2 linked regions of the Caenorhabditis elegans genome follow. The protein of the gene in region 1 purifies or fractionates together with the protein of each later gene. This does not show direct contact. Each region holds a gene or a part of one and is shown on either strand. Other genes may lie near its edges. The genes, in order: ehbp-1 and rab-10.

The links.
Region 2: the proteins of ehbp-1 (region 1) and rab-10 purify together in Caenorhabditis elegans (affinity purification with western blotting, with the first as the bait; 2 studies listed by BioGRID). This does not show direct contact.

Annotation. Positions count from the first base shown.
Region 1 is NC_003283.11:9,548,444-9,556,603, forward strand, and holds ehbp-1 (EH domain-binding protein 1), read left to right. Parts: upstream 1-2,200; coding exon 2,201-2,275; intron 2,276-2,317; coding exon 2,318-2,382; intron 2,383-2,554; coding exon 2,555-3,009; intron 3,010-3,060; coding exon 3,061-3,189; intron 3,190-3,509; coding exon 3,510-3,729; intron 3,730-3,778; coding exon 3,779-4,466; intron 4,467-4,916; coding exon 4,917-5,082; intron 5,083-5,182; coding exon 5,183-5,260; intron 5,261-5,338; coding exon 5,339-5,398; intron 5,399-5,491; coding exon 5,492-5,553; intron 5,554-6,175; coding exon 6,176-6,295; intron 6,296-6,409; coding exon 6,410-6,565; intron 6,566-6,613; coding exon 6,614-6,927; intron 6,928-7,184; coding exon 7,185-7,302; 3' UTR 7,303-7,589; downstream 7,590-8,160. Other genes in the region: nstp-10 (GDP-fucose transporter), read right to left, coding at 1-365, 411-465, 512-597, 1,367-1,393.
Region 2 is NC_003279.8:6,456,772-6,460,343, reverse strand, and holds rab-10 (Ras-related protein Rab-10), read left to right. Parts: upstream 1-1,864; 5' UTR 1,865-1,871; coding exon 1,872-1,998; intron 1,999-2,053; coding exon 2,054-2,366; intron 2,367-2,443; coding exon 2,444-2,522; intron 2,523-2,892; coding exon 2,893-2,979; 3' UTR 2,980-3,062; downstream 3,063-3,572. Other genes in the region: mam-8 (MAM domain-containing protein), read left to right, coding at 3,418-3,572. UniProt on the Caenorhabditis elegans protein: The small GTPases Rab are key regulators of intracellular membrane trafficking, from the formation of transport vesicles to their fusion with membranes.

The sequences.
Region 1 (8,160 bases):
CCGGTCACACCTTCCTGATCGACTCCTAACAGGAATCCAAAAATAATAAGGGCACAGCAACCGATCGCCTGTCCTGATGTCTTTTGTCCGAGGATCAGATAAGTACAGACAACATTGAAAACGGTCGTTAAACTACGTCCAACATAGTAGAAACTGACGCCAACGTATTTGAGACACAAATTATTGAAGGAAATCATAGCGACAAAAACGACAGAAAGAGGTAATACTTCTCGGCTGATTTTTGCATCAATTGGCATCGATGGGAATTTGAATAAACCATAAGCTTTTGATGTTTTACTGAGGAATAAACACAGAAATACGGTGACCAAACATTGATACCAAGTGATGAAAAGCGGAGCATCAAGCTGAAAAAAGAATAATTATTGATGTTCGAGAATTGAACAATTTACCTGCACACTAGACAGCAAATACTTGTTGAGAAACACTAATCCTATTGAGAAGACCCTGAAATTGGAAAATTTAGTTGAATAAAGAAACCTGAATAGCGTACCAATATGCTGAAACAGCTGTGATGACCTGCTTGTAACTCTCCCATTTGGTTGGATTCTCACGATTTCTCATAGCTTCGAAGAGGGCCTAAATTAGAATGAAACGTTTATGAATGGTAGTTAAGGCGGGAGGCAGGACAAACATAGAACGTGGAAAACGTAGAAATGGAAGAGGACGAGAAACAGGCAACACCCGACAACTAGGCCATTGTTGTCGAGTTAATTGCGGGCATTGCTGCCGCAGTTTCTGCTCGATTATTCAGCTTTCTAAGGTTTTAAAGAGTTTGAATTCGTATAAAAATTATTTATAATTAATTGAGACATTTGTAAAAGTTTAACAAAGGTGAAAAAGTAGTTTGTTCACAATAAAATTAACAATATCGTGAGTAATTCTTTACCTGCTTAAGAAATAATCAATATCGAAATCGGCTTTTAACTTTTTTAAAAATATAATTTAATTTTTTAATTTGTGAGAATACAAACGCATTTATGGAGGGAATTACCAAGGAAATAAAAGAAATAAAAGAAAAACCCCTCTGCAAAAATTATTTCGGAAAAAAAATGTTTTCAAACAGAATAACAATGTGCAAACACGGCCACGTCGAATTACACAATATTCTATTTACAGTAACGTGTCTGCGTTTTTGCGTGACTGTGAATGCAGACGCAAAAAGACGTAAACGTTTTTCACGGCCCGGCAAGTGGTACATCCATGCAAATGCGCTCTACTGATAATTGGAGTGTAGACCTCTCCAATTTTTTATATGCATCATAAAAAAATACCACTTCTCGGGCCGTGTTTTTTAGACCAATTTTTGAAAACGGTTTTTCAATATATTGTTGCAATAAATATCTACTTTGTTGTTTTCTTCATGCAGTTTCATCGTATTAAATTAATTTTTGTCAAACAATCACTGTGGTTATGCATATAGTTCTCGATCAAACCATTTATGTTCCTCACGTTTATTAAATATCGCATTTTCGATAGCTCCTCATGTTTTCTGAAAACGTTACTTAATGGTGTTTTCAGAATAAAAATTAACTTATTTATTCTGACTGCCATTTTTTGTTTATGGGAGAACACTTGAACTTCGACGGCGCGCTGAGCAGAGTTAGTGTAACGGGCGCTGGCAGCTGACTGATACATAACGACGAACACTCGAAAAGTAGCACTTGTAACTAAATGCTAAATCGAAAACCTACCGAGAGCGTGAGAGATGGCAAGAAGTGGCCATAAATCTTTGTATCGGCGGTCTCAAGTGACCAATCCAACTCGATCTAGTAACATTACACGATGCTCTACTGTCAGATTGTTTTTGTTATTCTCTCCTCTCCCTTTCAGTTTTACTAAATTTCTATTGTTCATTTTCTTTAAAATAATACAAATTCTTGTGAATCACTGGATAAAATAACATATTTCAGACCTTCTCTTTGGAGCTCCAAATGCTCTTTTCTTTTTACCTCTGTCACTCTCTTTTCCTTCTAGTCTATCGCCTCTCGCTCATTTTATCAAATCTTCTCGCCGCCGTTGTCGAATGAGGAGGAGGAAGACGGCTGCGCCCATTCCTCTCGGTTTCCGCCGCCTTTCCTTTCTTCTCATCTCCTCAAATATCCATTTCCGTACGACAAATCGAAAAGAAATTCTTCGCATTACGCACCTGATTACCATTGTTTTAACATATAAATTGCAGATGGCGGGTATTCTTCGTCGACTTCGGAGATCCAATAAGAAAGCTGCCAAATTTAGATTTACAGTTACTCTTCAGGTTCGTTCTTGATACTTTTATCTCAATTGTTTATTATTTTAGGAATTACATCTCTACACCGACGAACAATGGAAACCAGAAAACCTTGCAGTTTCTTTCGTTCATAGGTGAATACATTTTCTTATCAAAGAATAATAAATGTCAATCAGAAAATAGACACAATGCATCATGATCATTATGGAAATTTGAAAAAAAAAGAAAAATATTCACAAGAAAATAATACGAATCGAAAATAAATAAAAAATTGTTCATGAAACCTTTATCATACAATTTTTACAGACGACGAAAAGTATCATCAAAGGAACGAAAATGGGAAGAATGTTCGGACGCTAACAAATGTTTGATTATGTGGCCTGAGCAATTTTCAGAGAATATAGATATTCTTACAACATTATATCGTATTGCAAGTGATGAATATGAAGATAAAGAATGGACGATTGTTGTTGAAGAAGTAACTGCTAAAGGAAAAAGAAAAGCAATTGCAGCAGTGCCACTCAATGTTCGCTTATTTATTCTGGATCTACCCGATCATAAAAGTGAACTGAAGCTCAAGCTCCGTCCATTGACGCCTCATTTGAAATTGTGTTCCCTGATTATTCTTCTTGGAAGTTCTCTTATTTCGGAAGTAAATGCAGATGATGTTAGTATTACTTCGTCAGCTGCAGCCTCTTTTGTTGAAAAAGTTCCAGTAACAGATGAAGTTGATGCGAGTGCAAATGATTCCAGAGCAGCAGGTATTTTGATTGAAAAAATACAGTTTATTTCACATAATTTGTTTTTTTAAGCTGCAAGACAACAAATCGACACGACAGCTACAAAAATGATGGAATGGATCAAAGAGGAAAAGGAAATCGCTCCGCCTATTGTTCCAGCACACCGAAAACCTTCCGGAGAGAATGAAAACCCTGCAAAAGGTAATTAGAAATCGTTTTTTAAACCTAATCGTTAGAATTTTTGGCTAGAATATTTTCATGGAAAAAAGTCATATAGCCTAAATTCGTGTGTGGTCATCAAAAAATTTGTAGATTTTTTTCATTTTTTTTTCAAGGAACATCGAAAATCGAAAAAAAAATTCGAAAATTATCCAGAAAATGATATATCAAAATTTGTTTATGTTGATGAAGAAAAAGGATTAAAAAAACCAAAATAAATACTCGAAATTTTTTTTTTCAATTTTTCGGAAAACGAAAAATCGAAAAACCGACACCCGTGGCTCTTATAGAATGTATTTCAGTTCGTCCCCAATGGAGAGTATCAGCTGAAGAAGAAAAAACGTCACAACCAGCAGCTCCAGCGCCAATTGCAACCAACAGACATAGTCGGTCAAGCCGTGCTTCGACAGAAGAAAAAGCGTCTACAACAATAGAATTCCGTGTGGATTCCAATTCTCGGCATGTTCCAGTTACAGCAATCGCTACACCATATTATCTTCAAAGTGGAACAATGAGTAGAGGGTATTGTTTGGTTACTTTTCTCACAATCATAATTTTTTTTCAATTTCAGAAGATCAAATTCTCCGAGAGCTCCATCTAGAGATGCTGTCCCTCAACCGATCGATGGAGAGACTTTACTTTCATGGTGTCAGAGAGTTACTAACGGATATTCGCATGTAAAAGTTAATGATTTTATGAAATCTTGGAACAACGGATTGGCCTTGTGTGCAGTTCTTCATTCTTATCGCCCGGATCTCATTGGAGATTACGAAACACTGGATATCTCTAATAATATGTCTGGACGCATTTCGAATATTCAAAGAGCCCTCGATTCACTTACTTTGATAGGAATAACAGAAGTACCAACAGTTGATATGTTTCTGACTCCTGATCGGAAACAAATAGAATTTCTTCTTCAACATCTTCGCCGAATCTTTGAAGGATTTGACGAGGGATCTACACCAGCCAGTGCTTCTGATCACAGAATATCCAGAACATTTGGAATTAATGAATCCGAAGAAAAAGTTGTTGCCATGATTACAGAAATTCGAAATCAAAAAGATCTCGAAGAAGCTGTGGATTATAGACACATTCCTGATGAAGTTCCTGTTACACCACAGTTGGCTAGTCGCAATCCGGCTCTCAATCAACCAACTGACGCTGATGACGATGATGCTGAAACTTCAAATATGCGCTTTGAGAGAAGTAATGTAAGCATAACCATGGTGACTCCAGGAGTTGGAGCAATTCGTGCATCGGTGAGTTTTTATTGAAAAAAAAAATTTTAAAATTTTAAATATTTAGTTTTTGTTTTTTTGTTGAATTTCGAATTGAATAATGCTAATTATTTAAAATAGTTATTGAAATCTTTTTTCACTTCAATTCTACCATTTTTAAGATACTTTGTGTGTATAATATAACTGAAATTATAGGAAAAAAACAGGTTCTTTCAATCGTCAGATTTCTTGGTATATTTTCTTATTTTATTTTTTTAATGCAATTTATAAGGTTATACATAACTGAACATTTCCTACTACCATATAACAGCTTGATAAAAATTGCGACACAACTTAAAAAACTTATTAAATACTCGCCCTTATAAAACTCAATTACATTTGTTCCCAGCGAAATAGTCTAATCAATTCTTTTTCCTAATAGATATCCAATTTTACGAGATTCTTATTTTTGAAAATCTTTACAACTTTCAGAATCGTGCATCACCTTCAAAGCGAGATGAACTACGCCAAAGAGCACGTGATTTAATTGAAAAATCAACAACTCCTGCAGCAACACCAAATTCACGGAAAGCGAGTGATGAAGAGAGAAGACGCGAAGAGGTCAGACGGATGCTGAACGAAAAGCAGCATCCAACGGGTGAGAAGTTTTTAAAAACACAAAAGTTGTCGTGATTCTCTATAGTAATCTCCTTTGTTGTGATTGTTTTAATTATTTCTACCGTGTGTTCCCATTTCAGCAATCCCCTCTACTTCATCATCACCATATCCCACTTTCCGTCGTATCGATGGATCAAATACCGATCTTCGTCGTATTGGTTTGTAACATTTTCAGATCATGCTCCGATTTAATTGTTTTAGTGTTGTGACAAAGCATGTAGTGAATTTATTTTCAGAACTCGATGTACACAAGTTCAAGAAACGTGATCCATCTCCGACGCTCGTCCGCAAACAATGTACATTTTATTATTTCCTCATAGTGCAGTGATTTTTAACATGTCAATTGCATTATTAGGAACAATTTCATCTTAATTTTGTTTTAATTACAGACGATCCCAATGATACTCCTCATGTGCCAGCAATTGGTCGTGGCAGAACAAATGGAAATCGGGTCAGTCATTAATATATTTAAATTCTCGGCATTTCGTGCCTACTTTCTCCCACCTTTTCGCCTTCCGGCAAAAAGGTGGGAGAAAGAAGACGCGAAATGCCGAGTTAACAGTTTAATCCCGAATAGAGCATTATTGGCAACACCGATTCAGGAAAAATATGTGTACCTTTAAAGATACAGTTACTTCAAATCCTCGTTGGTGAGGTATTTTCATAGATTTTTCATAGTTTTTCGATAAAACTTTTTTTTTTATAAAAAACTAAAATAAAACAATAAAACACACATAAATTTAAAAAAAAACTATGAAGAATCGATGAAATATCGACAAATACGAGAGCTTGAAACCTTGCGTCAAGACCAGCTACCGTATATTTTGTCGCAAACTATTTTGTCAGTGTAATAAGTTGTCTGATTTTCAATTTTAAACATTTGAGTATTATTTTAAGCTTTAAATATGAATGTTGTCAATTAGCTGTCAATACCACTAGCAATCCTCATTTCTATCTAACCATAATTTTTCTTTCGTCGATATTATCTTTAGTTCTTCTCTGTTCTATATTTTCTTTTTTATCATACACCGCATTGTACAGTATGCCTAACAAGTGTTTTGCTCACATTTCAGAACGATTCATCAACTCCTTCATCAGCTTCTACATTTGATCGTGTCAAGAGATATGGGAGTATGCGTAGTGCAGAATTGAAAGAATCGTTGCAGTTGATGGCGAAACAATACGGATACATGGTTTGTGATGTTGTAAAAAGTGTAATGTAATGATTTTTGCTTCTATTTTAATCAACATAAAATTTAATCATGGGTGCAAATTGAAAGTTACCGTCTAAATGTTATTATTTTTAGGGAAACGATTTCGAATCATCTTCGCAAGACGCTCTGGCGACACCAACCAAAAAGTTCTCTTCCCAATGGGAAAAAGACGTCGATGACGTTGAAGGAACCGCCAATGAGCTTGTTCGTATTGACGAACGTATATCGGATATTACAGCACAAGCCGATGTAAGATTCTGAGAATTAAAGGATTAATTCAGTTTGTTTTGTTTTCAGGTTATTCAAGACAAGATCCGTGAAACAGAAGTTGGAAGTTCAGAAGAAGAAATGTTGACTGCATCATATCTTGAGTTGACAAATGAACGGAACACTCTTGTACATCGACAGGAATACTATAATATCATTGAGACAATTCGTCAGGTTACTTCGGAAATTGACCAATTGGGAAAACAAATCAATGAAGTTCCTGATGATTTCCCTCGTTCTGATGAGAATAAGACGGCAACGGATAAACTGATTGAACAATATAGTGATGCTATGAAAACAAAAAGTAACTTGGTTCAAAAGTTATTTGCAACTGAGGACGAAATGTAAGTGTTTATTGCTTTGTTGAACCACGTGGTGTCAGGCTGTCCCATCACGGTTTGATCTACAAAAAATGCTGGAATTTTTCGCCTAAGAAAGTGCCGTCAGCACGTTCTTAACCATGCGAAATCAGTTGAGAACTCTTCGTCTCAACTTCCGAATTTTTTGTAGATCTACGTAGATCAAACCGAATGGGACATTCTGACACCACGTAATAAACTACTTTCAGTGAAACTAATGAAACAACATTCGAAATTTTCAGCGAAGAAGATTCGGATCGTTTGAAGAACCTTACTTTGGATAGGGCTACTCGCTTTGTTCGTGGAATAGATCAGCCTGTTTCAGCATCGAAGCGACTTATTCAATGGTGGCGCCGTTAATACGCTTCAACGTTATTTATTACTCAATTTAAAACTACGGGTCTTCTTCTCTTTCTGAAAACAAAGTTTCTCCCAGTGTCCCTTTGTTATCTTCTATCATTTTTTCTCCTTTCCATAATTCACTCTTTCCCGTTTTTTTGGCAAATTTTTAGGAGTTAATCAAAACATCAAATTTTTCTCTATCTTTTCATCTCTATGTGTATATTTTTGTATTCAGTTTTCTTTTCTCTCGGTGCACACAAATCCAAATGCTTTCAGCTTTCAATAAATCAATTCAGAGTTTTAAATGATGTTCAGCAAAAATTCATTCGAAAAAAGAGGAAAGTGTGTGGAAGACTGGTGAAAAATACTTTACACGTGGAAATATTTAGCGTAGAGATCAAACAAGTGGGATAGGAAAAAGCAAGCTCGAATTGTGAGGGAATGTACTGAAAGAAAAAACAAATAAATTTGAGAAATTGAGTGATATGGTTAAAAAATGAATCGCATTTTGCAGGAAAAAATACTCGTATGCATTAATTTGAAGAAAAATAGATGAGAAGAATAAACTTAATATTGTACTCTCATATTACGAGAACACTAAATCCTGAGAAGGCGTATTGCGCAACATATTTGACGCGCAAAATATCTGACCGAAAACTACAGTAACTTTTTAAATGACTACTGTAGTGCTGGTGTCGATTTACGGGATCGATTTTCACTTATGTTCGAATTGCGACAGTGATATTCAGTTTTTCGTATTGTTTTGTCATTTTTGTGTTTCTTTTAATATTTAATCGATTAATAAAATGTTTCCGTAAATCGACACTAGCGCTACGGTATTCATTTAAAGTGTTACTGTAGTTTTCGCTACGGGAT
Region 2 (3,572 bases), on another chromosome or scaffold:
TCTCTTCCTATGAACAAACATTCTTTCTTCAATATATTCTTACTGCCATTCTTACAATCCTAAGTGTTGATCGGTCGATAGCCATTCCGATTCCTACTCAAGCTAAAGTCAAGTTGTTCTCACAATCATTCAATAATTCTACATATATGTACATAGCTTCGGGAATTATTTATTCCATACTTTTCCAGCTAAATTGAAGGTTAAAAAGTATACCATAAAAACATATCGATTCCAGGATCAAATTATTCCATGCAGCATGGAATGTGAAAAAACTTCAGATGATTCTGAAAAGTCATAATTTTCGATTCGTTAATTAATTTCGTTAATATGAAGTTAATTCTAAATAGGTGGGAAAAAACTATTATTCAAATTTTCATGAACAGATTAGCTTGAAGTTTTGTGAAAAGGTTTTAATATTAATTTTCGCAATAATTTTGTTTTAAACTCAGAATGATTCATGCCGCTTGAACTTTTTCTTTTCATTTTTTGTTGAACCTTCTCCCACCGGAAACATAAAAACACATGATCCAACTACCACCACTAAGCTGTCAACACTTTGCCCTTTGCTTTCGCCAAGCTCTTGTGAAGCAGCTCATGTCTTTTTTCTTTTTCATCCTTCCAACAACGCGCGCTCTCTCTCTCTTTCTCCGTCTCTATTCCTTTTCTCGTTGTCTCGGTTCCATCGATCTCCCATTCAACATACGGCCGAGGCGCCCTCTCTTGTCTGTATCTCTGGTCTCTCTATCATCTAGAGAATGAGTCCTTTTCTTTCTCCACCATCTCATCAAATTAAACGTCTATTTCGGGGGTTTTGTCTATCTAGTAGAGGTCCAACCACACTAGCCTTCAAAAATTTCACCACGCCCAATGCCCTCCACCACTGAGAATTGACCCTTGTCAACAACCTTGTCTTCTGAATTTTTGATGACAGAGGCAACGGCTTCTTTTGATTTTTGAAGTTTTGAGATTGCGACTTCCTTTTCATCATTGACTCATTTTTTTCGATAATCAAAAATTATACACTACGAGGGAGCGATGTTCTCTTTAATTTTTTTTTGCTGTAGCTTCTTTTAATTTTCAAAACAATTTATCAAAACATAGCTTTCTGAAATCACCCTGAAATTTCAGCTGAAACTTATTATTTGAAAAAATATTAGAAATGTATTTTTTAACTTCAAAAAATCTAGCACATTTTGATATTCACCTATCATAATTATGAGTTAGTGTTCCTATTGTTTTTATATCAATTAATATGTTCATTTCTGTTCCTAAAATATTTCATCACAAATTATTGAAAAATCACAGTTTCTTGAACATGTCGTTCACATTTTATTCCTTATCACTTCACACATCTCATGCCATCTGATAACGTACTTTGCATTACAAAATTGCAAAGTTCACCATTCAATTTCAAATAAAAAGCACTTTCGATCAATAAACGTCCACCTGTACCCGTTTTAGATTCGCTTCCTTTCCAAATAACAATTATAATGATCTCTTTGTGTTTTCGTGACCCGCAGAGGAAGCCAGCAGCTGCTGTTCACCTTTTCCCGAGAATTTCCCAGAAACAGCTAATCGATGTGATTTGCGCATGCACGCGTTAATAGCTCCGTTCAAATTTTTTTTTGTTATAATGGAAACAACAATTAACTATTTTGTCCTGTTTTTTCTTTGACAACATTTTATGACAAAAACCTAATTTTGGAAAACTAGAAAAAAATTAGAAAGTTCTTCCAAATATCTTCCAATTGTCAACTCTTGATAACTTCTTCGAAATCTCAAAGTGTTCGTTCTATTTGCCATGACTCAAGTGCTTTTCTCTTACTTTTGTGCAACTTTAGTTCTCAACTTTTTCTCATTTCAGAAGAAAAATGGCTCGCCGACCGTATGACATGCTCTTCAAATTGCTGCTAATAGGCGACTCAGGAGTTGGAAAAACTTGCATTCTGTACAGATTTTCGGATGATGCCTTTAACACCACATTCATCTCAACTATTGGTTAGTTTTTATTCAGAATCTAGTGATTTCAAAATAATTTTCTTTTTTCATTCAGGAATCGACTTCAAAATTAAAACTATCGAATTAAAAGGAAAAAAGATTAAATTACAAATCTGGGACACAGCTGGACAAGAACGATTCCACACAATCACAACATCATATTACCGCGGAGCAATGGGAATTATGCTGGTTTACGATATCACAAATGCGAAAAGTTTTGACAATATTGCAAAGTGGTTGCGCAATATTGACGAACATGCATCGGAAGATGTTGTTAAAATGATATTGGGAAATAAATGTGATATGAGTGATAGACGAGTTGTGAGCAGAGAACGAGGAGAGAAGATCGCACAAGATCATGGTATTAGGTACGTTTTGGGAGATTAAAAAGGATTAAAAAATAAAAAAATATATATATATAATCTCAAACAATTTTTATTTTCAGCTTCCACGAGACTTCAGCTAAATTGAATGTTCACGTCGATACAGCGTTTTACGATTTAGCAGAAGCAATTCTGGCTAAGGTAAAGTTTTAAAATGTTTTTAAAAATTAAAATTAAGGATGTGAAAATTCGAAATATATTAGTACATTCTTTGCACGGGCGAATATATGTTCTGATAGTATTGAAATCGACGAAAATGTGATAATTAGATTGCTAAATGCATTAGAATCTGATTTTTTCTTGTGAAATTGTTCGTAATTAGTTGAAAAATCTAAGAGCCTTTTTATTTTTGTCCTCATTACTCTTCTAGTACAAAATATGAAGAGCGAAACTTCTTCGTTTTTAATCATGCAAAAAATTTTAATCGCTTCGTCAAAAATTGCACCAGAATAATCTAAATTAGTTTCATTAATACGATTGTTTTTTTTTCATAATTTGTTTTTATTTTCAGATGCCTGATTCCACTGACGAGCAATCCCGCGATACGGTGAATCCAGTGCAACCACAGAGGCAGAGTAGCAGTGGAGGATGCTGCTAGATTCATGTTTTTCCCTCTTACTTCTCTATTCTCCAATTTGGTTTTGTAAATGTTTCATCCGGGTATTCATGAATTTGAATGTCAATACATCTTTTTTGCTTCTTCTTCTTTCCCCCTCATTTTTTTTCGAATTTTTGCCTCACATTCTTCCCTTCTAGGAAACATTTTCTCCATTTCCACTTACCTGTTCTAACTAATGATCGTTTAAATATGTTCTCCATTTCTTTCAATTTCCCTCCCCCTTTTACTTTTCTTACAAATCTTCTCGTGCGCAGAGACTTAATAAAATAAATTGCTCTTCTTCCACATGCTAACTAGCCATCTTTACCTTCATTGCTTACTCTTGTATAATTGACATGTCCTCCCCCTCCCCCCGAAAACCGGTCACTTGTTGAATATCCAACGAGGTCACTCTAACCAACTTCAGGATTATGACAGATGACACCGTTCAACGCAATGCTTTTCAAAATTATCTACCTAGTAGTACTACCTATTTCTTACTGTACGGAGTTATGTACATTCAACGAAGGAACCTGTGAATGGGATATCAGACCTCCGTGGAATGTTGTCTCGTTGGCAATTCTTCCACGTCA